Ovis aries: one gene and its partners. Each later gene encodes a partner of the first gene's protein in a complex. Links are inferred from orthologs where the notes say so. Each region holds a gene or a part of one and is shown in the gene's direction. Other genes may lie near its edges.

What was found.
Region 2: CASK (region 1) and LIN7C share a complex: the UniProt entries of both Homo sapiens proteins name them as parts of the brain-specific heterotrimeric complex. The link is inferred for Ovis aries from reciprocal best matches to the Homo sapiens genes CASK and LIN7C.
Region 3: the proteins of CASK (region 1) and LIN7B are in contact, whole or in part, in an NMR structure (PDB 1Y74), measured with the Mus musculus proteins. The link is inferred for Ovis aries from reciprocal best matches to the Homo sapiens genes CASK and LIN7B. Residues at the interface, in NP_001271432.1 of Mus musculus: Ala405, Arg408, Ala409, Glu411, Val412, Glu415, Ile416, Tyr419, Glu421, Asn422, Asp424, Ala425, Glu427, Leu428, Ile431, Leu432, Gln434, Phe437, Ala439, Leu440, Leu441, Thr443, His444, Val447, Ala448; in NP_035828.1 of Mus musculus: Leu10, Asp13, Val14, Arg16, Ala17, Leu20, Leu21, Arg23, Leu24, Ser27, Glu29, Leu30, Pro31, Pro32, Lys34, Leu35, Ala37, Leu38, Val41, Leu42, Ser44, Phe46, Cys47, Ile50, Arg51, Tyr54.
Region 4: CASK (region 1) and LIN7A share a complex: the UniProt entries of both Homo sapiens proteins name them as parts of the brain-specific heterotrimeric complex. The link is inferred for Ovis aries from reciprocal best matches to the Homo sapiens genes CASK and LIN7A.
Region 5: the proteins of CASK (region 1) and DLG1 are in contact, whole or in part, in an NMR structure (PDB 1RSO), measured with the Rattus norvegicus proteins. The link is inferred for Ovis aries from reciprocal best matches to the Homo sapiens genes CASK and DLG1. Residues at the interface, in XP_038955489.1 of Rattus norvegicus: Gly339, Ala342, Ala343, Arg345, Ala346, Val347, Gln349, Val350, Ser353, Leu354, Glu356, Ile357, Leu360, Thr361, Asp367, Leu368, Phe370, Leu371, Ser373, Val374, Phe375, Asp377, His379, Leu380, Thr382, Leu383, Leu384, Asp385, Leu386, Tyr387; in NP_036920.2 of Rattus norvegicus: Arg4, Asp7, Thr8, Arg10, Ala11, Leu12, Leu14, Leu15, Tyr18, Lys21, Leu22, Glu26, Asp27, Leu30, Ser33, Ile34, Arg36, Val37, Ser39, Ile40, Phe41, Ser43, Leu45, Phe46, Leu49, Ile50, Gln53, Glu57, Val58, Leu60.

The regions. Positions count from the first base shown.
Region 1 is NC_056080.1:40,718,873-40,724,040, reverse strand, and holds part of CASK (peripheral plasma membrane protein CASK), read left to right. Parts: intron 1-1,473; coding exon 1,474-1,650; 3' UTR 1,651-5,168. UniProt on the Homo sapiens protein: Multidomain scaffolding Mg(2+)-independent protein kinase that catalyzes the phosphotransfer from ATP to proteins such as NRXN1, and plays a role in synaptic transmembrane protein anchoring and ion channel trafficking.
Region 2 is NC_056068.1:56,974,004-56,980,293, reverse strand, and holds the start of LIN7C (protein lin-7 homolog C), read left to right. Parts: upstream 1-2,219; 5' UTR 2,220-2,244; coding exon 2,245-2,281; intron 2,282-5,396; coding exon 5,397-5,515; intron 5,516-5,771; coding exon 5,772-5,843; intron 5,844-6,290. UniProt on the Homo sapiens protein: Plays a role in establishing and maintaining the asymmetric distribution of channels and receptors at the plasma membrane of polarized cells.
Region 3 is NC_056067.1:55,364,472-55,370,818, forward strand, and holds LIN7B (protein lin-7 homolog B), read left to right. Parts: upstream 1-2,607; 5' UTR 2,608-2,644; coding exon 2,645-2,681; intron 2,682-3,103; coding exon 3,104-3,222; intron 3,223-3,508; coding exon 3,509-3,580; intron 3,581-4,305; coding exon 4,306-4,515; intron 4,516-5,617; coding exon 5,618-5,781; exon of another isoform or gene 5,782-5,847; intron 5,848-6,127; coding exon 6,128-6,149; 3' UTR 6,150-6,230; downstream 6,231-6,347. UniProt on the Homo sapiens protein: Plays a role in establishing and maintaining the asymmetric distribution of channels and receptors at the plasma membrane of polarized cells.
Region 4 is NC_056056.1:116,991,348-116,997,556, reverse strand, and holds the start of LIN7A (protein lin-7 homolog A), read left to right. Parts: upstream 1-2,017; 5' UTR 2,018-2,323; coding exon 2,324-2,405; intron 2,406-6,209. UniProt on the Homo sapiens protein: Plays a role in establishing and maintaining the asymmetric distribution of channels and receptors at the plasma membrane of polarized cells.
Region 5 is NC_056054.1:192,592,357-192,598,570, reverse strand, and holds the start of DLG1 (disks large homolog 1), read left to right. Parts: upstream 1-2,777; 5' UTR 2,778-2,899; exon of another isoform or gene 2,900-2,993; intron 2,994-3,274; exon of another isoform or gene 3,275-3,728; intron 3,729-4,192; 5' UTR 4,193-4,223; coding exon 4,224-4,266; intron 4,267-4,902; coding exon 4,903-5,034; intron 5,035-6,214. UniProt on the Homo sapiens protein: Essential multidomain scaffolding protein required for normal development. Recruits channels, receptors and signaling molecules to discrete plasma membrane domains in polarized cells.

The DNA.
Region 1 (5,168 bases):
CTATCTTACCTCGACTCCCCTTGTCAAAGGGTTGCACCACACACCAAGGTTCCCCCAGGAAGAGTCTCTTATAAACAGGTGGGCCTCAGGGAAAAGAAGAGGGGTCCTAAGCCTGCAGTGAGTGCCAACAGCTCCCAAATGATGGCACCACACCTTTCGGAGATGGGTCTGTCATCGTGGGCCCCCATTTCCTAGTAGAACACTCCTCACATCCTATCACAGCCAGTGTTAACCAGCCAAGTGCTTGCTCTTTTGGTAAGGTTTGTTAAGCACTTACTATGTATGAGGCACAATGCCAAGTGCTGGGTACAGCAGGGCAAGTTTGTGCTGTAGTTGGGGAGAGAGATACTAATCAAACAAACAAGCAATGAATTGTATCTATTGATAGATATATATTTCAGAGTCCACCCAACAGCTCACCTACCTAATCAGTTAATTTGACTTACAGAGAATCCTGGTTTCAAACTTGAACTTCCCCATTAAAAGCTCAGTATAACCAGATCTGCGCCATGAAGATGCAGAGGCAGACTTTCTGGTGGCCCTTAAGAGATCCTCATCTTCAAAGAGCTCCCATCCTGAGGCTTTCTGGGGCTCACGGTAGAAGTTTAGGGAAAGTCTTTACTGCAGCAAAGAGTTGAGTAGCTGCTTCTCCTTCAGAGTTTTTTTCCATAAGATATATTAGGACCTACAAACAGTGATGTTTGGCCATTTCCAACACAGACCACCTTGAAGGGATTCATCGGGTGTCAGTTGCTTTTGTATCTGGGATATGGCCTCATTTCATCCATTACTGGTAACATCCAAAAAGCTTTTGCCTCTGGCATATCCACTGCTAGTGAGTGAAGGCAATGCATTATATATGTAATTGAATTCCGGGAACATGGCAGAAAAATTCAACTTCATTTATTGTCCAGAGGCAGGGGCTTCTTGGGGCAAACACAGCTGGGCTCCGGGGCTCAGTGCAAGCGAGAGCAGAGGACCAAGGAAAGGGGATGCAGAGCTCTGACCTCACCCCCGCCCCCAAAGCCCCCTCCACCCTGCCAAACAGGAGAGTGGTTCGAGATGAGGCAGGCCTGGGTCAGGGGGATGAGCACAGAACAGCTCGACTCTGATAGTCAGCCTCAGCTGACTCCAGACAGGCACAGTTCAGCCAGAGCAGAGTCGCGTGTTTGCTGAGGAGTGTCGTGTCCTGGTCCATCCAGGGTGGCACAGAGGCCCTGTTGCATGGTGAGCAGTCACGGTTGTAAGCCATCGTTCTGTGCCCCTGCCATCCTGGGGGCCATCGTCTCCTCTGTCACGAAGCGGCCTCAGCCTCACACTCAGATATGTCCCATCACGGGCGGGCCTCGACTGTTTCTGACACCGGGACAGACAGAAATGTAGCCCGAGAAAACCATCTTGGTTGACTTCTCTCTCATCTTTGCTTCTCCCTCCTCCCTTGCCCACCCCTTCCTCCATCCCCTCACCATTTAGGATGAATCTCTTCAGCGTCTGCAGAAGGAGTCGGACATCTTACAGAGAACATACGCACACTACTTCGATCTCACAATTATCAACAATGAAATCGACGAGACAATCAGACATTTGGAGGAAGCCGTGGAGCACGTGTGCACAGCCCCGCAGTGGGTCCCCGTCTCCTGGGTCTATTAGGCCCCCCTCCCCCAGATATCTGCCGCATAACTGGGAGCCACCTCATACATGGAAAAGCCTCTTTGTTATCGGCCTTGTGTCAGCAGGTCGTGGTCCCTAGAGACTACCTAGTTGTAGTGTGACCTACATTTATAATTATTGTCATGTCCGAATAGATAGGAGGAGAAAAACAATTACACACTAATTTAAAGAGACAGTATCTTTTTTAATCAGTTCTCCTAAACTTTAATAAAATGTATCTTTAAATGTATGTATTATTCAATCCTTTGGAATGTTATATTTTTGGAAATCATAGCTTTTTATTTCCAAGGCCCCTAAAAACTGCACAAAATAGATGCTGCTTTCTATAATCTATTTTAATAATAATAAACAATGATTCTGTTACCTTGACTGGGGTTGGAACACTACATTCTTTTTAGAGTCTGATTTTATGGATTGGAATATCTTTCTTTCCTTTATTTATTTGAAATAATCAGTCTAGTGATTACAAAACTCATAAATTTTTAAAGGCCTTTTTTTCCTCTTTTTTTTTAGAATAGTATTTTTTTTAAGTCCTTTATGTAACATCCAGATAATGTGATACTGTCTCTTTGAAGCACCCTGTAAACCTTTTAGAGATTTGAAGTTGGGTCTTGACTCTTAATGCATGTGGACAGTCGCGAGCGTTTATGCTGTCGGTGTGTCTGTGTTGGACAAAACAATCTGTAATCTACAACAAAGTACATTCCGTTCACGGGGCACACCCAGGGGAATAAGAATAAAATGCTATTATGACTAAGTTGTAAACCTATGCACATCCCTTGCATTTCGGGCAACTTTATAAAAAAAACAAACAAACAAAAGAAACTGATTTTTATTAATAATAACCATGTAGTGAAATGTGTTTGTAATTTTGTCTCAATTTAATTTGTTGTAAGGTGGGGGGGGAATTGCTGGTTTCACCATTTCAGATCTGTGTTGTCTGAGAGTATTAACATTTTAATTAAGCAAAGAAATGAGGATTTTTAATATGTATGTAATTGTTTTAAAGCACCCGTTTTAAGAGAATATACTGTGCAATGAAGAAACCAGTTTAGGCATTTGCTATAAACTGAATTATTCCAAAAGAATAATAATCTATAATAGCCCTGTAAATTCCTTTAAAATGATAACAGGACAGTTTGACCAATTTTTTTTAAATATACTTCCTTTTATGTGTTCAATAATTAAATGCCTTTGGGTCCTTCATTTCATCATAGATTTGTTCAGGTTTACAAGGTGATGACCTTTTAGATTTTATAATCCTTTAGATGCTCATTGAACCATCGAAGGCCTAGGAATGACTATCAGTTGGCAGGACAACAAAATACTCTGCCAGAGCACAGCTGGGACCTCGTCTGGCTCCCAGAACACAGTGCACCCGAGGGCCACTCAAGTGCTGGAGGCAACATGTGGTTTCTCCTTCCTCTTGCTATATCCGTTGGCACAGGATAATCATGTCCTTGTTGCATTAGAGACATTAACCATCCCATCACCCTTCTGTGAGGTCACATTCTTCCAATACAGGTGAGTCAGGCTGGCAGTTTTCTTGCTTTTTGCCAGAGGTCAGTGGCAGGTTTTTCCATTCGAGTGTCAGTGGTTCTATTAACCTGAGATCCTTGAAAAAAATACCATCGAGTTTCCTTCTTGTAGGTTAGATGGCCTCATTGCTTTGTGCCTCGGCAGGACATGCTGGATGTGTTCTGAGCGGAACAGCTCCTCTTGAAGAACCACACAGAGAAGGCCTTTGTATACTCTTTTGAGGGTGTCACCCTCCCCTCCCCCTACTCTTACCGAACAGTGCTGGGTTTTCTGCCGATGTTGTCCTTTGTCGGTGACCCGATGAGTATACAGCTTACAAACTGCTAAGTAAACTGCTGCCATTGGGGTCCCATCTCAGGGTGACCAAACCACTAAACCAGAGACACCCTGGATGGAGGGAGAAACCCGGAGAGCTGTTTGGGGCTGTGATGGGACTGACTGCCATCTAAGCGCCGCCAAGGCCAGCCAGTCATTCCCAGGATGGTATTGGTCACAATGGGGCTCTTCTCAGTGTGAGCGTGCCCGCGCTACCTCTTTTCCAATGAAGCACAAAGAAGAATGCAACTGACACCTGAGAAATGAAGCTCGCTCCCTCCCTCTGGTAGGAACCCCCATGGCCCACTTGCCCTCTGAGACCAGGTCTCCGGGGATGCTTGACGATGCCTGTCGAGCCACCCACCACGCTGGTAAAGGCAGGTCAGGCAGAGGAAGAGAAAAGCAATGCCAGCGTAGTCTGTGGCCCCGGGGCTGAGAAGCACACAGGCTGGTGGCATTCTCACCATTGTGCAGGTGGCAAAATTCCTGCACCCAGAACTCATTCTGACTTCTCAAAGAGGTCATCTGTTCCCTTCTGCTAATATACGACTATCCTAAAGCAGTGTCTTTGTGACCTAGCAGAAAAGACTTAAATTTCTGAATCCAGAGTAATTACAGTACACTGCTGCTGCCACTCCATTTCAGTTGTCCACTGAGCAATTAGAAAATTGCTCAAAAGCCGCTTTACTGTTTCCGTTCCATCCACAAAATCATTTTTTTCCTTTCAAAGAACAGAGCAGATGATTAGATTATTAAATCTTAACACTGGTCAATTCAGCCATATTCTGAGGGCTCTCTTTCCAGTCCTATTCCTTACAGCAAGAAAGGGGGGTAGGGGTTAATATGTCAAATCAGCTGTTAAAAAGAATGTCCTGATTTTCTAATCATAAAACAGTAATTACTTTGCCCAGGCAGCATGTTCAATTTTAACACTAAAAAGGAAAATGTCACTCAGTTTAATTCAGGAAGCATCCCAGTGTTGAGATAATATGGTAGCCTTTTAAAAAGCAATTAAGTGTATCTCCTGTTAGGTGAGATGGTTTAAAATATTTGCTCAGAGAGGAACAGAAATGGGTGACCTACTTCTTGGCAATTTGCATTCAGAAGGCATCTTATGAGCCCGTCCCGTTGGCAGCGAGGTATCCAAAGATGCTACAAAGCCCTTACCGCACGAAGGACCAGCATATGCTCCTTCTTCTCCAGGGCCCAGTCCATATCCCACTGATGGGGCCAGCCCACTGGGCCTGGACTCCATGCTATGATTATTTTTTAAGACTTTGATCTCATGATTATAGAGGGGTTTTTTGGTTTGTTTTTAAATCACTTGTAGTTAATCTGTTCAATAAGTTTTGAGTTCATTCCTGGAAAAAGTATAATCAGTTGAGCCACCCCTGGGGACACTGAGCAGTGGAAATGTCCGGCGTGGACACTGCCCTTAAAGGACAGGCAACCCAAAGCAACCGCTCTTGTCTCCCCCTGATGTCCTTTTCTTCATTTCAGGTCAGTCACTTGAGGGCAAAGAGAACATACCGCTAAAGCTAGCAAGAACATTTCTTGATTAATATATTCTTAATGCCTCCCAGGCTATCTCCTTGGAAAGAAGAGAAGGCATCTTGCAATCAGCATTCCAAACAAGCCCCTGT
Region 2 (6,290 bases), on another chromosome or scaffold:
ATGAGGGTTCAATCCCTGAGTCAGGAAGATCCCTGGAGGAGGGCATGGCAACCCACTCCAGTAATCTTGTCTGGAGAATCTCATGGACAGAAGGCTATGGTCAACAGGACCATGAAGAGCTGGACACAACTGAAGCAACTTAGTATGCATGCATAAGCCATAATTAAGAGAAAAATCAATAGAAATAGCACAGATGACAGACTTAGTAGATAAAGACATTAAAACTGTCATTATAATTTTACTCTATATGTTCAAGAAGCTAGAGGAAATACTGAACATGTTAAGTGAGTACATGGAAAATGCAAACACACACACACACACACACACACACACACCCCTAAATCAAACTGCTGAAGATAAAATAGACAAATATCTGAGAGGAAAAATGAACTAGATGGGATTAAGAGAATATTTTATGTTGAAAAAGGGAAACAGAAATCCTGAAAAGCTGAAATGAACAGAGTATTGGTGAGCTGCAAACAATGTCAGGCATGGGAATATACATGTAAATAGAGTTATCAAAGGAGAGGAGTTGGAGGATGGAAGAAAAGAAAATCTTTGAATGTCTGCACTTGTCTTTCTCCACATAGCATTCTTAGTGCCTAGCAAGGTGTCTGATAGACATTAAGCATTTAATAAACATTTGTTGAACATCTGTGACAAATAATAACAATAAATAAAAAATAAATACATGAATGCTTTTGCAGGCTATAAGGGCCATTAGGGACCAATAAGGAGAAGAGGATGGAAAAGGGAAGCTTAGTAGAAGTGATATGTCTTCACAGCCCTGGAGGATGGGTTCAGTCTGAGGATGTATATAGCCTAGAGAGCCAGAGGAGATGGGGAAGGGTGATCCATTTAAGAAAACACAAATGAAGACTTGGAAACAAGAAGAAACATGGTTTTGAATATTCCTCCTCTACTGGAGTGTCTACTCCATTTGAGGGATAAAGAGAAATTAGGTTAGACAGATGTGTTAGGCTCATAGTACACAAAGCTTTGGGCTTCCCAAGCAGTGCAGTAGTAAAGAATCTGCCTCCAATGCAAGATACACAAGAGACATGGGTTTGATTACTGGGTCCCGAGGATCCCCTGGAGTAGGAAATGGCAACTTGTCCCAGTATTCTTGCCTGGAAAATTCCAGGGACAGAGAAGCCTGGCAGGCTACAGTCCATGGGCCCGAAAAGAGTTGGACATGAATGAGCACACACACAACTTTAGAAACAGGAAACAAAGGTAGAAGCCACTGAAAATTTTCAAGGGGAAAACAAAAAGTATGATGGTGGCATTCATGATGGACTAGAAGAAAATATGTTGAATGCAAACAGTGGATGGGGGCAACTAGGAAGTTGTTAAAACAATCCTGTCATGAACTGTTGAAAAGCTGTTTGTAAAAGCACCCAACTGATTATCAGCATAGACTAGCACTTGAATAAATGTTACTGGACTCTAAATACTGGGCAAATTAATATTTCACTTAAGGACTAAAGCTTTCTTGGTTTAAGAAAATTTCAAAAGTGGCCCTAAGAATCTGTAATGTATTAAAAATATTACTTGATTCCTAATACATCATTTTAGAGGCTTCCCTGGTGACTCAGTGATAAAGAATCCAACTGCCAATGCAGGAAGCTGCAGGTTCCATCCCTGGGTCGAGGAGATCCCCTGGAGAAAGAAATGGCAACCCACTTCAGTATTCTTGACTGGAATCCCATAGACAGAGGAGCCTGGTGGTCTACCGTCCATGGAATTGCAAACAGTTGAACAGGACTGAGCAACTAACCACCACCCAGTTTCATTGCTTAAGAATGTTAAGAACTCAGACACAACTTCTACGTAGGACAGATGGATAAACTGAGGCAAAAAAAACGATGTGAGCACTCCAAGTTCACAGAGCCCCAAACAGTCAAGCTGGAACTAGAGTCTAAACTCTACCTTATGAAACGAAGGGCTCCAAGGAAAAAGAATATGGCTCGAATCCCCAGGAATGGGGCAAGAGTCGGGAAACAGACTCTTTTCAACTATACTTGGCCGAGGGATTTCTAAATCTTAAGACTGCTGAAGTGCAGCACAAGACTGGCCTCGGAAGCCCACTACCCACACACTCTCTACCTCAAGAAGACTCGACGAGGCCCAGACCCACCTCTCCCGCTCTCGCGATACCTGCTCCCGGCTCCGCTAGGCCCCGCCCCTCCACCGCAGCCCCTCTGTCGTCACTTCCTGTGGGTCTGCAGGCAGAGGGAGAAGATGGCGGCCCTGGGGGAACCCGTGCGGCTGGAGAGGGGTGAGTGGGGCCGACCCTGGGACGGACGTGGGCGGAGGAGGTAGGGGAGTGCCTTGTCGTCCAAGGGGGCGAGTGGGCCAAGCTCCGAGACCCCGAACCAGGCTTTCCCTCGCGCTGGCGCCTGTGGCCACCGATGTCGATGCGCCGGGCCTGGGGAGGGGGCTTGACGCTCTTGACTGCTCCTGAGACCCCTTCTGTCTTCACATGGACTATTCCGGAGCACAGCATAGTTCACCACCACTTGTCTGCATTCGCAGATACACGCTGTACACGCTCTCCCTGGGTGGGCACGGCCTGCTTTGCGTTCAGAGACGTGTCAAGCTGAGCAGTTCGGACAGACTCACGCCCAGTTCGGACAGACTACACGCCTTGCCCGTATTGACGCTTCCATACACAGTGTTTGCGTCTTCACTCACCCAGCCGGGACACGCAGCGCGTTCCCACCAAACCCCCTCTCATTTATGCACAAATGCCACCACAACCTCGCTTGTATACGTATTGGGGATATTTCCTGCCTGTGGTGTCTCTCCCAGGTACGGAGAAGGTGCTTTATAAAAATCCTGCTGTGGTTCTGGAAAGAAGGTTGCATGACTGGAAGGAATAGTGATTGTAAATTACGTTAAAGTGCAGCAGCGTTCTTCATTACAGATCCTACGATTGCTAACTGGTTGATTGCTTGCTTTTTAGAGCAAAAAGGAAAATAAAACCTGTTCTGCTAAGTAATTAAAAACCGAAAAGCCAGTGAAGTAAAAGACTATGAGCCTAAAAACGTACTGTTGCAGTTTTTTAGCATTCCACTATTCCCCAAATTCTTTATTTCATATAATTTCAAGTATACTTTTGACACACCTGTATTAGAAGTCATCAGTAAGAGTCAGAAAGTAAAACTAGACATTTCGAGTACTAGTAGTAAACAAAGTATAAGATGGAGATTGACAGTCTCTTTAAATATTAACATTTGCATTTACAGTCCGACTATTTAAGTAGCTTCTGCTCTAAAAAGGGATACATTTTTAGAGTTGAATTTTGGAGTCTTTCCTCATATCTTTACACAGACCCATTTAACATTATTTATTCCTTGTGGTATTCACTATTTGTAAGCCTCTTTACAAGTAATGTTTTCCTCCAGCCCACCAGACCATTAATTAAAGTATCATTTTGACAGAGTAGCAGCTTACTCTGGGAAGATTCGCTAAGTTAGGCCTAAGCCTGTGACATGTTCTTCCAAGCACAATGACACTGTGCTTTGCAGATGGGAACAGATTTGTTTGGTGTTAACTGGAGTAGGTGTTTTTCTTTGAAAACTAGTTGTAGAATTCTAACATGTTGGCAGTCTTTTGTATTGTTAAGTGCAGTACAAAATGTGAGGCTTCACCTCTGGCATTTACTTTTGGTAGTCCTGGCTTTTTGTTTTTTCCTGTTTCAGAGTTCATTTCAGTTCTGCAGTAAGAGTGCTCAGAACCTGAGGATAAGCTATTAGTGGATGCCATTTAGCAGGATAAGAAAGATTACATCCACTCTGATTCTTACTTAGCATTCTGTTTAACAGATTCTATTAAGAAACTCTCCCAGCAATCCTATAGTATAAAATTAGTTCATATGATCAAGATCCTGAATGCCTTCAAAGACATTAAAACAAGATTTAGTGGAACACATTTGAGAACATACTGGGTACAGTTTAGGTTCAGTAAACAATATTTATACTTTTTCAATTTTTTGTTAGTTGGAAATTTTCATATAGCTTGTTTATTATAATTTTGTAGGTCAGAATATTTGATGAACCAGCACTCCTGATTCACCAGCTATTCTGATGGTGGGAGATGAGAATAGGGAAAGTTTTTTCCCCCTGCATTGGATTAACATCAGTTTAAGCTTCTATTACCTGAAATTGAAAAATGTACTTCTTTCTTCACTACATTTATTTTCAATTTTCCAGTTGCAAACAAAGACAGCCATACTGATTCTATAAAGAGAAAAGTTCCAATCCTTTAGTATAATAGAAGATTTGGAATTTCTTCCACTTAAGACAAAAGGAGGGAAGGAACTTTAGAATAATAAGTACTCTAGCCCCCTGTGGTACAAAAACTGTTAAAAAAAGAAATGAGGGGAGAAATAGTATGAAACATGACTGAATCTTGTAAAAGTTTCTTAATTTGTAAAACACTTTTTCCTGACGCTTCACAATGAGAACTGCCTAACAGGCTTAATACATTTCTATAAAAGTATAGAACATCTTAATGTTTCTTATTAATTGGTGCTAATGTAACATAACATTTATGCTTGCCACATGCCAGGCCCTTACCATGTTTTTTTGTTTCATTGGTCATGTAATTCTTATAAAGGAGATATACTGTTATTTCTATTTTATAGTGGAAAACAGACACAGGGAGTTTAAGTTACTTGCCCAAGATCACCCAGCTGTTACTGATACCATACTTATAAACTAATTGCTTTGTGTTTTGTAAACATGTATTTTACTGAGCTTGTCCTAATTAAAACACTGTGTGATGATCCTAAGTCGAAAGCAGACCAGTTAATTTTACTCATTTGTATTGTTGTTTTAAATTGTGTTCCTGCCAGTAACTAACTGCACATGTTATTGAAGAGTTTTTGTGTGTACATATATATTCAGTGTTCTTTTGGGAAATAGTGACTTCATTAGCACACAGCATTTTATACTGCTCAGCACTTTGGTTACTACTGATGGTAGGTGAATTTTTATTGACTAAGTAGCTTCTGATAATGCTGTCATCTTTTCTGAAGTACTTCAGTGTTCATGTGTCTGTGACATTTGAGCTCCATTTCTTTCTTGTGACCTTTAGGACTTTATATTTGTTTTCCTATGTCTCTTAAAGATACGGTTTTTCAGATTTTATGCATGTTCAACCTCAGTTTTTCTTCCTAGTCTGCTGTAAAATTTAACATTCTTCTCAGTCTTTACATTCCCACCCTCCATACATGAACCCCCCCACACACAAGTTCATACTCTTAGGCTTTTTTTTCCTCTGTGTTCTTATATTTCTAGTTAGCCATTGAGGAATAAATCCTAAATGCTGCACTGTTACAGAGGCATTTAGAGAAAATTATCTATCAGTGTGTGTTTGTTTAACTCTAGATATTTGTAGAGCAATTGAATTGTTGGAAAAACTGCAAAGAAGTGGAGAGGTACCACCACAGAAACTTCAGGCTCTACAAAGAGTCCTTCAGAGTGAATTCTGCAATGCTGTAAGAGAGGTAAGTAAATGTGATTAAAATTGACTATGAACTTGCGTTATTTAGGGTAAGATAACATTCTGAAATTTGGGTTTGTAGTTTCTTAAAGTTAACTTTAGAACCCACTCCTCTCATTTTTGGAATTTCTAACAGAAAAACATGGTACAAAGATGCATAACTTTTTCTGAAATTTTGACACATTTGTTAACTTTAAAAAGAACTCAAGCTTGTTATATTTTGAGATTTAAAATCACAGTGATAACTTTGGGTTTTGCAGGTATATGAACATGTCTACGAGACTGTGGACATCAGTAGCAGTCCTGAAGTGAGAGCTAATGCAACTGCAAAGGTACATTTTTTTCATTTACTGAAAGTGAGAGGATTCATCACAAATTAGAGGTTTAAAATGTGACGTTATTAGTTTCATAATAGACTTATTTTAAAAACTAACAAATAGTACCTTTCAAGTTACACTAAACTCGATTACTGAAAAGTAGGATTTTTTAATTGGCTTTACAAACACATTTTATGCAGTCTGCTGCTACTGCTAAGTCGCTTCAGTCGTGTCTGACTCAGTGCGACCCCATAGACGGCAGCCCACCAGGCTCCCCTGTCCCTGGGGTTCTCCAGGGAAGAACAGTGGAGTGGGTTGCCATTTCCTTCTCCAGTGCATGAAAGTGAAAAGTGAAAGTGAAGTCGCTCAGTCGTGTCTGACTCTTAGCGACTCCATGGACTGCAGCCCACCAGGCTCCTCTGTCCATGGGATTTTCCAGGCAAGAGCACTGGAGTGGGTTGC
Region 3 (6,347 bases), on another chromosome or scaffold:
ACGGGGGATATAGTTTACCAAAATGAGGGATTTAAAAAGAGATGATCTGGTTCAGCAGAGCAGCGGAGGGACATCCCAGGACGACAGTTTCTTGGTCCGGATTGGAGTCAGAGGATTAATGTTTACAAGAAGCTTCAGGATAAAAAGAGTCAATAAAGTATGTGTTGTGATGCAGAGTTTGAAAGAAATTAAGAATGTGATGAAAGAAACAAAAGTAGATAGACATTACAGGGTAAAAAATGGAAGCTGTTCAAGAAAGGAAATGTAATCACAGGATAATACTCGAGCTCATACAGCAAACAGTAAGTATCGAATACTTAGACATAATGTGAGCCTTTTATTGACTGACCTAAAAACTGGTACCATAAAACTACCATGGGAAGAGAGGGGAAAGGTTGTAAGAGCAGAAAATCAATATGAAATATATTGCTAACATCTAAAATTGAAAAATCGAGAAATGATATGTTACTTAGCTACACAAGCCACTAGCAGGCGAAACATCTACACCTCATTGCCTCTTGCAGTGAGGAGAATTAGGACGGGGATGGAGGCTGGTGCTTTCTGTTCTGTGTGTGTGTGTGGGTTGTTTTGTTTGTATTTTTTAATTTTCTTGGCCTCCACACATGGCGCGTGGGATCTTCGTTCCCTGACCAAGGATCAAACCCATACTCTTTGCTTTAGAAGTGCAGAGTCTTAACCACTGGACCACCAGAAAAGTCCCACGGGGCTGGTGCTTTTCAATATTCATCCTTCTAGGTCATGTACTGCTCTATTTAAAATGGATAACCAACAAGGACCTACTGTACAGCACATGGAACTTGGCTCAAAGTTATGCACCACCTTGGATTGGGGGGGGCGGCTTGGGGGAGAATGGATACATGTGTGTGTATGGCTGAGTCCCTTTGCTGTTCACCTGACCATGACATTATTAATCAGCTATACCCCAATACAAAATAAAACATTTGGGAAAAAATTAAAATGGACAAAAAATATTTATCCTCCTGTATTATTTCATTTTGTTTTAAAGTCCATAACTATGTTCTTTTCTTTGTTGTTGTTGTTAAAATGAAAAGAGAAACATACTATGATGGCAAGAGGGCAAACAAACCTGCTCTAGTCCTCTCACTTTGCAAAAACCCCATTCTGGATTCCATCCCACTAATGGTGAGGTTAACTGAGGATGTACTTTCTGTGTCAGTTGATGGTTGAACAACAGCCAGGCTTCTCCAGCCTCGCCTGCATCTACAGGTCTCTGACTCTAGAGCATCTGATACCACTGCTCACTTCCATTTTCAGAAACACTGTTTTTGTGGTTCTCCCAGCTGAGTTTTCCTCCTACCTTTCTGGCCATTCTTTGTCTTCTTCCCGACTTTTATACAATAGGAGTTTTGAGGACTCAGTCCTCAGTCCCCTTCATTCTATATTCTCTTCTCTCTAGCATTCTTGTCCACTCTCCTGGTGTTGTTTACCACCTTGGCCTCAGAACTGCTTGCAGGCCTGGTTTACTGCACAGGCTCCTCAAAGTCAAAATATCCACTGTCCTGTCACCAGCATAGACCATCTTAGCAAAAGGCCCCACACACACCTTAATAGCCCCTTCTCCTCCACCTCTCAGGTCTCATATACAATCAAGACACATCCAAACATCTCCAGATCTGTCCACATACCCTCCACGCCTCTGCTCATCACAGGATTACAAGGATGACCTCCTGATCGGTACCCCTGATCCCAGTTTTGCTCCCATCCAATCCAGTCTCCACACAGTGTCCACGGTGATCTTAACATACACATGTGATTACTGCATTTTACCCTCGGGAGTTACCATGAAGTCCAAAATCCTCAACATGAATAAGCCAACACACAAGGCGGTGCATCAGTTATGTCCTGTCAACCTTTCCGCCTTCCTCACAAACCACTCCAGTCCTTACTCTGCTATCCTGCCATGGGGGCTCTTTCTGCCTGGAAAGTGACCCACGCCGCACCTCATGAAGGTCTTACCTCCAAGGACTTTCCACCAGTGTCTCTCCTAGATCGTCACCTCCCTACTCTCATATCTGTCTACTCGTCTCCACCACCACCCGCGTCATAGAATAAGCTCTAGGAGGGCACTGGGCTTAGTTGCCCTGCTCACCACTGTATCCATGATCTTGGGCCCAATGTGTGACATGGTTCAGTTCAGTCGCTCAGTTCGTGTTTGACTCTGTGCGACCCCATGGACCGCAGCACGCCAGGCCTCCCTGTCCATCACCAACTCCCAGAGTTCACTCAAACTCATGTCCATTGAGTCTATGATGCCGTCCAACCATCTCATCCTCCGTCGTCCCCTCTTCTCCTGACTTCAATCTTTCCACAATGAATGTGGAAAAAACGGACAGAAAGGAGACAGACAGGTGAGGCGGGCAGGACAGACAGATGAGATGGAAGGTGGTGCAGACAGAAGCTGCAATAGGAGGGGTCACTAACCCAACACCTGGATGGGGTCTGAGGGCAGGGCAGCGAGACACGACTCGAGACGGGTGGGCAGGCTCGCGCTCGCCGGGCCCCGCTTCCGCAGGGGGCGCTCGTCGCCGGGGCGTGGCCTCGAGCAGCCCCGCCCTCCTCGCCGGCGACCGGCAGGCGGGTTCCTCGCAGAGGCGGCGCGGACATGGCTGCGCTGGTGGAGCCGCTGGGGCTGGAGCGGGGTAAGCGCGCCCCGCGGCCCTGCCCACCCGGCCGCGGGTCTGCATCCCAGTCTCCCGCCCCTCCCCGGGCAAGACCCCGGCGGGTGGGCGGGCCCGGCGGGGGTGGGCGGGGCGGGGCGCCGAGAGTCCGGCCGTCGGGGGGTGTGGGAGGGTCCGTGGGCGAGCGGGCCGGGGAGGGGGCGCCCGCTGCACGCACACCTCTGCGTGGGTGTCTGTGGGGATCCCGGGCACGCAGGGCGCCCGGCTGGCCGCAGTCTCTCCTCTGCCACCCGCGGCGACTCTGCGGGTGTCCGGCCGGGACGCGGCTGTTCTTTCCCGGGTCTGCGTTCGCCCTGACTTGGTCTCTGGACGCAGTCTCTCCGGGTTCTCTGCGTCTTCGCGTCTCTGAGTGTGTGTCTGTGCGCCCCGCCCCCGCCCCGCAGAAGTGTCCCGGGCAGTGGAGCTCCTCGAGCGGCTCCAGCGCAGCGGGGAGCTGCCCCCGCAGAAGCTGCAGGCCCTCCAGCGAGTCCTGCAGAGCCGCTTCTGCTCTGCCATCCGGGAGGTGAGAGCACCGCGGCTCCGAGGCACGGGGCGGGCGGCCGTAGTTCTCCTCCTGGTCGCCCCGAGCCGAGGGACTACGCCTCCCGGCAGCGACCGGGGCGGCGCTCCTGGGGGTTGGGGGGTGGTGCCCGCGCTTCAGCCCAGGGGTTCTTCGGGAGTTGTAGTTTCCGCGGCTTCGGAGTTGCGGGGGCGGAGCGGACCCTTGGGTGGGAGGGTCTGCGGGCCTGGACGCCTGCGTTGAGGAGCTGGGCTGGCGGCTCCCTGAGGCAGGGCTGCGTCCTCACCAGGTGTATGAGCAGCTCTACGACACGCTGGACATCACCGGCAGTGCTGAGATCCGGGCCCACGCCACGGCCAAGGTAGGCTCCCCCCACCCCATGGCTCATGGTATCCACTGAATCGCATGGTCCAGCTCAGCGTCTTCCTAAAGCCAGTCATTCCTGTTTCCTCCTTCATGATTTTTGCCATATCTGTCTATCACCTCTACTAGTATTTATAATATATTTTGAATAATCTCACATTTGTAGCTTCAATGTCATATAAAGGTATCTTTGAAAGTGAAAAGTGAAAGTTTTAGTCACTGAGTCGTGTTCGACTCTTTGTGACCCACCGGGCTCCTCTGTGCATGGAATTCTCCAGGCAATTAGCAAGTACAATTAGAAACTAGTATGAAATGCCTGACCAGAAGATAAGTTTAAACCTTTACACGATGAAAACAATGAAGTTGGGTTAAACACTGAAATCTTACTAAATCACGGTTAGATGCTGTTTGCTTGCACGAGGCTCGAGATTCTCTCAGGCCTTTGTTTCTCTCTGTAAAAAAGTGAGATTGGCAAAAAAAATGAGATTCAAGACACACACAGCAAATGGAGGCTTTCTCTTTGACAGTCTGAAGTGTCCAAAGTGACGAAAATGGACATCCTGTCACTACAGAGTGATCTTGTGTTGACTTGTATGGCAGGTGCCCCATTCTTGAGAAGAGCTCCCTGGCCGAATCCCTCTCCTGGGCGGGGGCCTAGCCTCTACCTGAATGCGTATGCCCATTGTGGGGGGTCCTCACCTCCCAAGGCTTTCTCTTTCCCAGGCCACGGTGGCCGCCTTCACAGCCAGTGAGGGCCATGCACATCCCAGGGTAGTGGAACTGCCCAAGACGGACGAGGGCCTGGGCTTCAACATCATGGGGGGCAAGGAGCAGAATTCGCCTATCTACATCTCCCGTGTCATCCCTGGGGGTGTGGCTGACCGCCACGGAGGCCTGAAGCGTGGGGACCAGCTGCTGTCAGTGAATGGTGTGGTGAGTTGGGGGCTGAGGCAGGGGTCATAGTCTGCCCAAGGTAGCAGAGTCCCTGTTTTTCATATTCACTCAACACACTGAACGCTGCCTCTGTGTCTCACCCTGTTCTGGGCTTTGCTGCAGACCCTGAGAGTAACTAGGGGGCTTCCCAGGTGGCTCAGTGGTAAAGAATCTGCCTGCCAATGCAGGAGACTTGGGTTTGATCCTTGGGTCAGGAAGATCCCCTGGAGAAGGAAATGGAAAGAACTCCAGTATTCTTGCCTGAAGAATCCCATGGACAGAGGAGCCTGGCAGGCTACAGTCCATAGGGTTGCAGAGTTGGACACGACTGAAGCAACTTACCTTGCACACATGCTGAGAGTAACTGGCCTCTGCTGCTACCTCCAAGGACACCCTCTCTGGTGAGGGAGATAGACCCTGGCTGAAATAATCCTAAACCAGGGAGATAATGAGGAAGCACAGAGCACTGTGAAAGCCCAGATGTGGCACCAGACCAGTGTAGATGAGGGAAGTTTTTGGAGATTAAGGAACATTTGAGTTTGTTGTTTTTTGTTTTTGGCTGCTCTAGGTCTTGGTTGCAGCATGTGGGATCTAGTTCTCTGACCCGGGAGTGAACCTGGGCTCCCTCCATTGGGAGCACAGAGTCTTAGCCACTGGGCCACCAGGGAAGTCTCCTTGAGTTGGGTTTTGAAGGATGAGTAGGAGTTGGTGGAGAAGAATGTTAGGTTGAAGGTACTGTAGGCAGGGACTGTGGCTCTGCAATCCTGTGAGCTGAAGAGAAAGGACTTGGTTCTGATGGACTAGGGCATGCAGATAATTAAAACCACTATGGTTAGAATAGAAGGAGGCAGAGCTAGATAGGTGGTTGGGGTCAGCCTGGGAGGACTGTGAGCAATGGAAGGCTGCTCAGCCTGGAGGTATATAAAGACCCCCCTTGGGACTCTGGGGAATAAGGGACTGGGGGCTGGAACACCGAGGATGAGGTCTGAGCTGGGGCCAGGTGGTGGGGACAAAAAACAGGGCAGGAGGGGTGGATTGGGGGTCGTCAGGCTTTGCCAGAGGGGAAGGGGATAAAGGTGAACTGTCTGAACGGTCCCTGCAGAGCGTTGAGGGTGAGCAGCATGAGAAGGCAGTGGAGCTTCTGAAGGCTGCCCAGGGCTCAGTGAAGCTGGTGGTACGCTACACACCCCGAGTGCTGGAGGAGATGGAAGCCCGCTTTGAGAAGATGCGCTCCGCCCGGCGGCGCCAGCAACATCAGAGCTACTCGTGAGCCCTTTGCCACCACACCCCTGGGGCTCCTCTGCCTCCCTCATCCCCAGACTCCCAGACCAGGCCGGTAATTTCTGAGACACTGATTGCCACCCCTAGCCCTGGCTCCTTTCTCTGGGATTCTGACCCTTGACCCCGACTCTCACCCCAAACCATTCTGACTACCTTGGGGGCCCCTACTTAGCTTACTTCCACCCCAAGATGGGGAACCTGCTCTCTCTGGAATCCCTCAACCCACTTCCCTGGGGTCTTGGCTCTGGAACCCCAATCCTGGCTCTCTCTCCCATGCCTACCACTGTCTTCTCCGCTGAGCTTGGCTCCCCTCTCTTCACCCTCCTTTTAGGTCCTTGGAGTCTCGAGGCTGAAACCACAGATCTGGACTCTCACCCCCTCCCCTGTACAGTATTTATTGTCACCAACTCCTTATTTAAAGATCTTTGACCCTCCTTGAGTGTCTGTGTCTGTCCTGCATCCACGGGTTGGAGTGTCTGGAGATGTGGGAGGGAGAGAAGCTGAGGTCGAGACCAGACCCTTTTCAGGGTCTGAGAGCGGAACTTGAGACT
Region 4 (6,209 bases), on another chromosome or scaffold:
AACAATAATTAAAATGTCCAACTCTTTGCAAAGATATGCGGTGATTTGTTCTTCCTCTTACTTTCTCTTTCAATCCTTAAAAGAACTCTCCAGAATGGTAAATTTTCAATTAGGGAGCTCAAAGCCTAAGTCCAGAAACTTGTTATTAAATATCTGGTGCTGAGAATACATCAGGAAACCAAAAGACAAAAAGCCAACTTTCTTGGACTTCACAGTCTGGGATTTGCGTTGAAATGGCTTTTAGAATTAGGAATCAAGCCACTCAAATACATATTCATGATACCATATGTTTTTAAGAACTACTCAACTGGCCAAAGGATCTGTATATTCTTTTTACCCTAAATGATTGAATGAGGTTTGATATTTTGTGCAAAACCCTGGCACATACTCTGTTGCTATTGTCCGCGATTCAACTTCTTTCTATTGTTTGATTTAGGGGATGTGAATAATGATAATCAGCCATAATTGTTGTTTCTTCTCTCTCTCCCAGTATATCCTTTCCATGGTGCTTAGAGTACTTACTGCTCTCATTTTTGCCCAGAGCTTACTCATATTCTCACAGCGTGCTCATTATTTGTCTCCCAACTTGTACTGAGCACTGTCTAGAAAAAGGGCCATGGCTTATTCATCTTTGTTTGGCTAGCACCTAGCAGAGTGCTTGCCATACAGTTCAGGTGGAATGTGTGTCTGTTGTATGCATATATTTGTATATATTTTACTGTTTTCAAAGCACATACATGTGCATGATCTCATCAGACCCTCACAAAACTCAGTAAGCTTGCAGGCAAGAATTAATTTCTTCATTTTAAAGAATCTCAGTAAGCTTGAAGATTAAAAGTGTCCTTGTTTGACAGATGAAGAAACTGGGGATCAGTGAGAGATTATGTGGTTTCTGGAGAGCATATAACTAAGACTTGAATTTCAAGATCAGGGTTCTTCCTAGACACTAAATGAAAATATAAGTACGCTATTATAAGCAAGAACTATTATTTTAGGTATGTCTTTAAGGTCTGTTAGGGTTTGACCAATCATCTTTGACTTTCTCAAATCACTTGTGAAATCTTCTTTGTTCAAACATAAACCATGAGATGGGAAAGGTCTTCAAAAACCATCCATATTGTATTCAGAAGACAATGATGTAGATTATGTGCAAATATTTTGCTGTAAAACAGTGTCTGTCTTCAGGAGTATACTGCTAGCCAAAACAATTCTGCTCTGTCATGAAGACAGGGAAGGAGGCAGCTTTGTCATTTCCAATCCTGAACTCATAGTCATCACCATTCTGCTTACATAAGATATCTATATCTTAGTTTCTTGATCAAAATGAGAGTCCCTATGTGGCAAGACAGTGAAAGCAATCTGTTAGGGTGAAGGGGTCACAACTAATATTTGAAAGTTCTGGTCACTGAATCTTGATTGAGTGACTCTAAAGTCACCCTTTTACAAACATCCTCTCTCACTAGATCGCTGGCTACTGGAAGGCAGGAACTGTACTGAATCCCCCAAGTCAGGCGATGGCCTAGTTCAATTCCTGTCAAATATGTTAATTAACCAGCAAGTGGCAACTCTGAGTAACCACTGGCTATAGAACAACCTGGAAAGGTGCTGGGTACGTGTCTTTCAAACTTTGTGATAGAAACTTCTCTTTGTGATTTTTAATTTAAAACCATTTTAAAGAAGTTGTAAAATAAGTTATTTTTTAGGCAATGTACTCAGGTCCTTAATGGAGATCAAATGGCGATGGAACCCTGGCTTTAAGTCAGTTATCTTGTGTACCGTTAAGAGTCAACATTCCAAAATAAAGTTTAACAGAAATTAACAGCAATCACAATTAAAACCCAGCATTTCTGAATTAGAAGCATTTTCTCTCTAGGGGATGGGATTACATGCCCTCGGTTACAACTAGAGGATTGGCAAACTCTCTTAATCAGGGGGGGGAAAAAAAAAAAAACCATCTCTCTGCCTCCCTCCCCTCTATTCTCCTTTCCCCCAAACGGTCGTACGTTGTGACCGTTTTATTCGAGTGGAAAGTTGAAAGAAAGCAACACACTAGCTACACCCTACCGGCGCTCCTCGGGTGGAACAGCAAAGTTCCTTCCCAGAGCCAGCCAGGCATTCGCTCTCCGATACCTGCTCAGCTTCACGCCGCATCTGAAGGTCTGCCCGCCGCGGAACAGTTGCGTCTCCATCTGGCTGCCAACCCACCCAGGCTCTCTTCTCCTCCACCACCACCAGCACCTTCCCTCCTCCCCCTCCTTTCCGTCTTCCCTCACCACCCCCGCCCCCAATCTCCTCCTCTTTTTCTCACTACAAGCGGTTGCTGATGCTGAAGCCGAGCGTCACTTCGGCTCCCACGGCAGACATGGCGACGTTGACAGTGGTCCAGCCGCTCACTCTGGACAGAGGTAAGGGAGCGGCTCGCCCTCCAGGCCGCTGCGGCCCCCGCCAGCCTCCTCCTCTGGCGCCGCCAACTCCCACCCGGACCGCCAGGCAGCGCTCGGGCAGGGGGAGCAGGGCAGCGAGGACGAGCGGAGAGGGCTTTCGCGCCGAGAGCAGGACACTTTCTTCCCCTTTCTCCGCCCGCCACGTCCCCGCTGCCCCTTCGCGCTACCGTCGCCCGGCCCAGGGGTGCCTCTGCGGGGCTCTCGCAGCCCACGCCGACCCTCTCAGCCCCTCGGTGGCTCGCCTCCCGGCCGCCGGCTTTGTTGGAGCGGAGGCGCGGGGGGACCGCTAGGCGCTCGCCCGGGGCTCGAGGTTGGAGAGGGGCAGGGAGGAAAGCTCGCATTGCCGGGCGAGGGCGCCTGCAGCCGGAGCCCCGGGAAGCCTGCAGAGGGAGCCGCCTGGCAGCCTGCGCGGCTGGGGGCCCAGGACGAAGGAAGTTTGTCTCGACGCCGGGGGGCGAGGGTCGGTCCGGCTGCCGACACCCCGGCAGCCTCCCGAGAGCGGGCCAGGCGTACCCCCGGGCGGCCGGTGCCGGGGCGTACGGCGGCTGGGCTGCGGCGGCTGGAGCTGCCCTCCGTGGAAAGGGCGAAGCGAAGCGCGGCAGCGGGGCCGGGCCGGGGGCGCAGCATCGAGGCAGCCGCGCCCCGCTCTCCCGGCTTCGCGCTCGGAAGGCGGCGGGGGTCGCGTCTGCCCTCGCCGGGGGCGGCCCTCCAGCCGTGGCAACTCACAGTTTCTCCTGCCCCAGCCAGCCTTGTTCTCTCCCAGCCCGGTGCCACGGCGACACCCGGGCTGCGGAAGGCGCTGGGACATAGCGCAGGCTGGGTTGCAATTCAACTTCTGACCTGCGACCCTGTGCGTCCTGCTTTCTGACTTGACTGGGAAAGCAGCGTTTGCTTCCTTTCTAGGACTTCCCCAAGCCCAAGGATGGAATCCTTCGCTGCGATCGCGGCCTCTCCCGCACACGGGTGCTGGGTCATACCTGTCCTTGCGTGTTCGACTTTTCTTTCTGGCTTTCCGACGTCCACTTCTGAATGCTCCGGAGTCCCACGACTCTGCTGCGGAGGACACCTGCTCGTCCCGGTCCGCAGCGTCCGGATTTAGGACCCTGTGCGGCCATTTGGAAATGGTGTGCTCAGATGAAAATGATTCAGTCCGATGTGCCTCTAAAAATATTCTTTCTGGAGGATTAAACCGGACTGTGGGGCAAGGGAAAAGAGCATCGTGCTGCAAGTACAGTGAAAAAGCCAGTGCAAAGTTAGGGAGGTTTTTTAATTTGGAGAGATTGTGGGGTGACTAATGCAATCTGTTGGCGCCAGAAGAAATGTTATGTGGTGCCCATAGCAACCTTACTCGGGGTATGAGTTGAAAGACAAAAAATAATTGATTTTATGTTGGGAAATGTTGGTTTGCCAGCTAGTAAATTAATAATATAGTTAAGGAGTTCAGAAATCCATTGTATAATCCATGATTTCTCCCCAGTATCATCATCTCCACTAAGCAGGATAAATCCATTGCCTCTAAGAACCTAACAGATGGCAAGCTAGTAGAAATTATGGACTCCCAAGTATTTCTGTTTTAATGTAATGAGATCTTATATTGTCCCATTCCTATATCACCGTCTTTAAACATCCCAAGTAAAACGACTACATTAGGAAAAAAAAAAAAAAAAAAGCAAGCAAACTCCAAGAAAATTGCATAACTGAGCAATTTTATATACTACCACTACTAAAAACATTTCACTCTGAAGGGCTTACCTGAAATGCCTGATCAATTGTGGAGAGGAAGTGCAATCAGATGAAGATCTGTTCTGAAAGTTTGTTCTTGTTCACAGCCAGACTGTACCTGTCCTTCCCAGCTGTGATTCAGTAGCTCAAGAGGCAAGTTGGGTGAGACTGAATGTATCTGAATAAACTCACCAGCAGCTTACTTTGAGGTCTTGTCATTTATGGATGGTGGATTATTGACATCATTACTGTGTATGAAGTCAATACGTATCCGTAATTTCCCCTCTAAGTTGTTAAAATATAGTAATTTGTTAATTATATCATAAAATTGATGAAATAAACTGATGAGAAATTTCCTACAAAAGGTAAAAAAAAATCTCTGAAAAGATAGTACTTATCTGGTTCCTGGGCGTAACTCTGATACTTACTTTGGAGGAGTTGGTCAGCCTCTTTGGGGAGCAGTTTTCCTTTTTGGCACACAAGGAGTTTGGAGTGAACGATTCAGACGATGTGCAAATCTAAGAGCCTCGAATTCGGTGAATTAAAATTGGGACTCAGTTTCTGGTCGCCTACTGGAGGATTTCACAGATGACTTCCTCGCCCACCTCTTCCGGGTGTTCTTTGACGTGCTCTGAGGGCACCCACTACTTTGGCCTCATCGAAGCATTTCTCAAACTGTTGCATCTATCTCGTTTCGAACGGAACTCCCTGAGGGAAGGCACCATTTCTAAATTCATCTCTGTATTCTCAAAGCCTTCCATAGTCCCTGATCACAGTAGAAAATTTTTTAAAAAAAGTGTACGTGAATGAAAGGATTGCAACAACTTAAGCACTGTTAAAATACCGGGGTTTCATAGCGGACAGAAAAGTACAGCTCATAGATTCACAACATTTTAACCCTGGGAAGAAAGGCAGGGAACACAGGCCAATGATTCTTAAGCTTTCTTTCCTCCCGTGCTCTTGACAGATTTCCATCAGCAACCATAGCTCGCTGAGCTGTGATTATTGAGCAAGGAGGGTCATGGCAGGTGGGCGAAGGAGAGAAAGAGAAGAGGACGCCTTATAAAGCCCCCTTCCCAGGCATCTTATCAAGCAAACCTGAACACATATGTGTATTCTGCAGGTTCTTTTCTAGCATCTTCATTTTTCAAGTGAAAAACAGGAAAAGGAGCAACGATAAGAGATGTTTTCAAGGTTACTCTGCTAGTCAGTGGGAGATTTTATGCTAAAATCTAACATTTTTTGTTTGATGCCCTTTGGCATTATCCATGGATTCATCTGGAATCTTTAGGGCAGCAATTTTAAGCAATCAGATCACAGCTAGAGCTTGAAATTAAGATGGAACACCCCCAGAATTCCAAAGATATCATCTGAAAGTAAAGCTCAGTAGTCTGTGCTAGCTTCATGGATCTTGTCCAGGAAGCAAGCCTTTGCCAGAACCTGGTTGGCCCCTGAAAGGGCAGACAGGGTGGCTTCACATTTTCACTGCTCTGTATATCCTAAACTCTTTTCCTTCTGCAACTAAGACCTCAGATTAACTCTGTGGGGGCCTCTTGGTGGCTTTGGTCATAAGAAGTTCCTGTTCCCCCTTGTCCCTGTCCTTAGGATTACTTATTGAGTGCTTACAGCAAATCAGACCCTACTGTGGGATTGCTGCATATTGGTGAGCTAAACAGACTACCGCATGGTCTTCATGGTCGTTAGAATCTAAGCAGGGAAAGAGATTTAACACACACACACATGCTCATGTAAATCATTCATTCATTCATTGAATAAATATTCATTTATCACCTTCTGTATACAAGATGTTACAGGAATGCCAGAGACAAAGTTTCTGCTTCTATGGTCCTTAAGAATCTAGTCACGGAAACATAAGTAAGAAATTCATTCATTCCACAACTAAGCATTGAGTGTCAGCCTTTTGGAAAGCACTGTTTTAAGCAATGTGGTGGTCCTAATGAACAAAGTAGATAAAGGCTAATGGAGTTGACTTACCAATGAGAGCCACACACTGAAGACATAGGTATATGAGTGCTAGTGAGA
Region 5 (6,214 bases), on another chromosome or scaffold:
AATTCTGCCGATTCCATTCTTAGAATGGTTCCTGAAGTGGAACCACTTCACTCACAGATCATCAATGAAGTCTTGATAACAGCATGCATGCCATTAGTTATTTTCACTGTTAACCCCTTGCTGTGCTGTGCTTAGTTGCTCAGTCTTGTCCAACTCTGCGACGTGAAGAACTATAGCCTGCTAGGCTTCTCTGTCCATAGGGGTTCTCATGGCAAGACTGGGTTGCCATGTACACCTCCAGGGGATCTTCCTAATCCAGAGATCCAACCCAGGTCTCCCACACTGCAGGCAGATTCTTTACCATCTGAGTCATCCAAGGAAGCCCACTATTAACCCTCCCCACCACCTATTTCACTATTTTAAAAATCCTCCTATTTAAGCACTTGCTTTTAAGATCTTCCTTTTACTTTTCCATCCCATTTCTTCTCTGAAATGCTGCTTTAACTGTTGCTCAAGCTCCCATGATGCAGGAACACATAAAGAAATTTTCTATCAATACACCAGCAATATACTACTCTCGGGTGTCCAAAGTCACAGTGGGAGGAATCTTGAACTGAAGCTAGGAGCATTAATTCTGGGCTGCTGTCACTGATTGGTCTATATGTCCTTGGGCAAGTTGCTTCCCCTCTCTGGACCTCAGTTTATCTTATTTTTTTTTTTTTAATATTTTTTAAATTTTAAAATCTTTAATTCTTACATGCATTCCCAAACATGAACCCCCCTTGGACCTCAGTTTATCTTAAACTGAGATAGTAAGTCTAGATGAGCTTTTAAGTCATTGGGTTCTCATAACAAGTTAGGATTCCAAGATGCAATCCAGAAGTGAAATCTGTATACCTCTGAGCAACTGTTATGATTACAGTACAAGGTTCCTTGGACTTCTCTTTATTAGCCCAAGGATATTGCCTCAGTGAAAGGCTATCTGGTTTACTGGGAAAAACCTTCTAGTTTTGACAGACATGATCTCTGTGGTTCCAGTTTTGTCACTTACTCTGGGTGATCCTGAAATAGCTCAACAGAATTCCATCACCTCCACTAGCGTTGCTCAGAGTGATGCTTCCTAAGGTCCACTGGACTTCGCATTCCAGGATGTCTGGTTCTAGATGAGTGATCACACCATCGTGATTATCTGGGTCATGAAGATCTTTTTGTACAGTTCTTCTGTGTATACTTGCAACCTCTTCTTAATATCTTCTGCTTCTGTTAGGTCCATACCATTTCTGTCCTTTATTGAGCCCATCTTTGCATGAAATGTTCCCTTGGTATCTCTAATTTTCTTGAAGAGATCTCTAGTCTTTTCCATTCTATTGTTTTCCTCTACTTCTTTGCATTGATCACTGAGGAAGGGTTTCTTATCTCTCCTTGCTAGTCTTTGGAACTCTTCATTCAGATCGGTATATCTTTCCTTTTCTCCTTTGTCTTTCTCTTCTCTTCACAGCTATTTGTAAGGAATCACTGCACATCATGACTGCAGCCATGAAAAGACGCTTGCTCCTTGGAAGAAAAGTTATGACCAACCTAGGCAGCATATTAAAAAGTAGAGACATTACTTTGCCAACAAAGGTCTGTCTAGTCAAAGCTATAGTTCTTCCAGTAGTCATGTATGGATGTGAAAGTTGGGCTATAAGAAAGCTGAGCGCAGAAGAATTGATGCTTTTGAACTGTGGTGTTGGAGAAGACTCTTGAGAGTCCCTTGGACTGCAAGGAGATCCAACCAGTCAATCCTAAAGGAAATCAGTCATGAATATTCATTGGAAGTACTGATGCTGAAACTCCAAACTTTGGCCACCTGATGGGAAGACCTGGCTCATTGGAAAAGACCCTGATACTGGGAAAGATTGAAGGCGCGAGGAGAAGGGGACGACAGAAGATGAGATGGTTGGATGGCATCACCAACTCAATGGACATGAGTTTGAGTAAGCTCCAGGAGTTGGTGATGACAGGGAGGCCGGGCGTGCTGCAGTCCATGGGGTCGCAAACAACTGGACACGACTGAGCGACTGAACTGAATTGGGTGATCTTAGGCAAATTCTTCTCTCTGGATCAGAGCATGGAGGTTGCTGGTACACAGAAGAGGGTCGAAGATGTGGAAATGATTTGGACATCTTTGCCCAATTCCTTTTCCAGATCCTGGGAGGCTCAGCCCCGAAGCGGGGTCCCAGCCGGCTAGTAGTCCCTTTCCTGCTGCTGCTGCTGCTAAGTCACTTCAGTCGTGTCCGACTCTGTGTGACCCCATAGACGGCAGCCTACCAGGCTCCCCCGTCCCTGGGATTCTCCAGGCAAGAACACTGGAGTGGGTTGCCATTTCCTTCTCCTAGGGACTACGTAAACTAGCTTTAAACTAGTTTTGCTGAGCTTCAGCGGTAGCTACAGGTGAGTTCTTAAAGGGGCCGCCAGAGCTTGGGTAATACGTGAAGCTGTTGACTTGGAGGGAGTTGCAGGCAAGGGAGAATGAATGAGAAAACGAACGAACCAATTTTCTATTCCCTTCCTTAAATGCATTCATACTTGGAATTAATCACTTAGATTTAAAAAATTCTCTGGCAAAACCTTCAATTTCTTATCAGATTAACTAATCTCCATATTTTACCTACCCTTCTTTAACTCAGTTCCTCCAAAACTTTTACTGAGGGGCTAACAGTAACTTGAAAAAATTAGCACCAAGTGTAAGAATGCAGAGACGGCACCCCTCCCCCTCGCAAACACCTCCCTTTTCCCCCTCCCAGGCCCCGCCCTTTCCCGCCCCCTATCGTGGGTGGTGCAGTCGACACCTCCCTGAGAATGCTTTTCCAGGTTGGGGATCCACCCCCGGGGTGGATCTCTCCGGCAGAGTTGGAAACGACACGCATTTAGTGAGGTTAAAGGGTGTCTCGGAATGTGTGTCCTGGATCTGGTGTAGGTGAGGTCACATTTCTCTTCCGACACTGTCACTCTTCCTCGCCTGGTGCGCTACTCGCTCAGAGCCGCGGGACACACCGGTGGGCTAGGACGAGGTAAAGGCGGGCTCTTCCAGGGCGCCCTGGCCCACCTGTAGAGTCTGTGCGTCAACTCCTTTGTTCTCAGAACCACTTCGGTGGCCGCGCCTTTACGCAAGGAGGTTCACTTCGACGTTCCTCAGGTCCCCTTCTGCCGTCCCCAGCCCCCTCCTGGCCCTCCTCCCTCTTCGAACCCAAAGGTTGCAGCGCTGAGAGCCCGGGGCTCGGCGCGAGCCGCCTCCTCACTTCCCATTGGCTGAGAGCGCTGGGAAAGCGGTCACGTGGGGGCGCGGCAATCCAGATCAAGGGCCGCCATCTTGGCGGAAAGTTTGGGGGGAGAGCGGTTGGGGGCGCGGAAGGAGGCGAGGTTCCGGGGGTGTGGCGGCTAAGAGCTGAGAAGGCGAGCGGGCTAGCGGGTACCGGCGAGTGAGGAGGCGCCGGCGGCTGAGGCGGAGGAAGAGGCAACGGGGGTGCAGCCGCCGAGGGGAGCTCCTCCCCCGTTCCCTCACCCCCCTCTGCACAGCTCCGCAAGCCCCGGGTGGGGCGGGGGGACGTGGAGCGGGGCAGGGCGGGGGAGACGGGCCGGGGCGCACCCCAGCTCCGGGCGCACGCCACTCGCAGGAACTTTGTGGCGGCGCCGCAGGTGTGGGGGCCCGCGGAGGTGTGCATGTGGGGCACGAGGGCGTCGGAGAGCGGCCGCTGTCCTGTCCGGCCCTCGCTGGAGTAGCTCGGAGGAAGCCAACAAGGAATCAGGCAAGCGAGAGGAGGGGGCCCGAGCAGGGCGGGGTGATCAATCCAGTTGGTTCCTTCTCGGACTGCTTTACAGTCTCTGCTGGTTTAGGGGCCAAGGGTCGGAGCGCCTCTTCACCCCCCAGTAGCAGGTGGGGGGTATGCTTTCTTATGCCGGGGGAGGGGTGGCCCCACGTCTAGCATTAAGCTCCCTTTGGAGAAGGGGCAGCTTTCGAGGAGAGTTTGGCAGCTTGCTCCTGTCTGCTCTTAATTTGCAGGGGAACCCAACCTTAGGTTAAAGCTTTCTACATTGACACTGCTGGGTTTTGAGGCTCTTTCTCCTTTGACTTGGGAAAACTTTGCCAGGTGGACTTTTCAAATAGGGCTAGGAGTTTTTCGATTTGAGAGTTAGAGGTAAATGCTAGGTTAACCTCGATTCTGTTCTTTTCTGAATTCAGTTCTGTTTCCTTTCTGTTTTGTGTTCTAAGGTGTGTGCTCTCTTCCTGATTCTGGAGAAAAATGCCGGTCCGGAAGCAAGGTGAGAGTTTACTTCGGAACTCTTGTGGGTATCCCTTGCTTTTTTCTGTTTTGTGCTTGCTATGTTTTACAGATGTTTGTGTAACTGATGAGACAGCCCAGCCTTAGCCTTATTACTTACGGAATCTAAGCCTCAATCATTCAGAAGATGGAAACACCTAAGTGTTTGTCAAACTTTTTTCCCTTGACATCTCTGTAGTGACTGGAGAGGCAATTAACTTTTTTCCCTCAGAAATGTCTTTTTTAAAAGTTTGTGTTGGCGTTTTAATATTTCATTTAAATCATTCTTAGTAAACCCTTTCGTGAACGAATGTGGAATACTAGCTAAGAACTACTAGTTTTGAAAGAATATTTGAATTATAATGATGGATTGTAGTAATCAGTGTTTGTATATCAGATCAACTGAAACTATGTTACTGGTTAAATGATCACTAGAACACATTGGTTACAAACTACTCACCTTGTTTTATTGTGACATAATGAACAGTTTTTGGATTATTTCATTTCTAAGGACTATATGTACAGGAACATAGTAGCATGGATCGACTTGGAGGTTTGGAGAATTGTTTAGGTTATCTTGCAGAGTATTTTGCTGCATAGCTAGTTTGTAATACTTCCTTGTAAGTATATAATTTTAATCAAACTTTTTTTTTCTTTTCAGATACCCAGAGAGCACTGCACCTTTTGGAAGATTATCGTTCGAAACTAAGCCAAACAGAAGACAGACAGCTCAGAAGTTCCATAGAACGGGTTATTAACATATTCCAGAGCAACCTCTTTCAGGCTTTAATAGGTGGGAATTAAAACTTTATTTGTGACCATTGTGTGTCAGCTGGGCTTAAGGCTTCTCTGAATTCACTTATTTTAAACTTAAGAGAGTGATAGACTTGGCTCTCTGTGAGGCATGCAGTTACTTGAACATCCAGTGAATTGTGTATTTTGATACTTAGACCAATATCTTTTCCAGAAATATCTAATAACCAAAAAAACTTTCAGTATGATTATTTCAGTGGTCTTTGATAACAAAGCATTAAAAAATGAAGAGGTTGCAAAAAGTAATGACTGAATAACTGTTAGCTTGTTTCTTTGTTGGTTTTGTTATTTCTCTGGAATCTCTGAAAATGTTTGAAAAGTTCTGTGTTTAAGAACATTCATTCTCTTAATATAGACCTCTGTTTAAACTTGGCATTTGTAGAATTACAGTTTTAAACTTGAAAAATGATCTTACAGATAATCTTGGTCTAATCTTGTTTTACAGATAAAAATATTGAATATTCTTAACTCTAACTTAAATTTGATGTGGTTCATTGTTTTAAAGGAGAACTGAACAAGGGTGCTGAGTTCTACTCCTGATAGTGCTATTGATTGGATGAGATGGTATAAATCATATAATCTTTTCTAGGTCCCTACATTAGCTGTAGCATGTGGATGCAGTGGAACAGTGGCTTTTAACCTTTTTCCTAAAAAGTAGCTAGATTCTTTTTTAAAGCAAAAGCTTATATTTTGTACACAATTCCCGGTATATAAAACAAGATGATCTGTTCTGGGCCTCTTCTCTAGGTACCTTGAAAAGTTTACAAACCACTGAACTAGAAAAATTGTCCCTTTCAATTTCAAGAATAAAATGCATTTTTATTAATCAATGACTATATAACATATTAAAATAAAACATTTCATTGCATTACATTTTTTTCCTCAGTAGTTACAGCCTTATATCTGTGTATCGATGGAGTAACTTTTGATGTGATTTGAGGTTAATGTATCTTATCCTACTTTCAAATTAATGTATTCTATCAAATAGCTTATTGGTAAATTGATACTCTACTAAATCAGTTTTAGAATTAAAGAAAACGTTAAAGAAGATCACTCAATACACTTAAATATAATTTAGCATTATTATAAACTTTTGAAAACATACACGACAACAGAGAGAACAGTATAATGAACTATTATATGTCTGTCACTCATGTTTA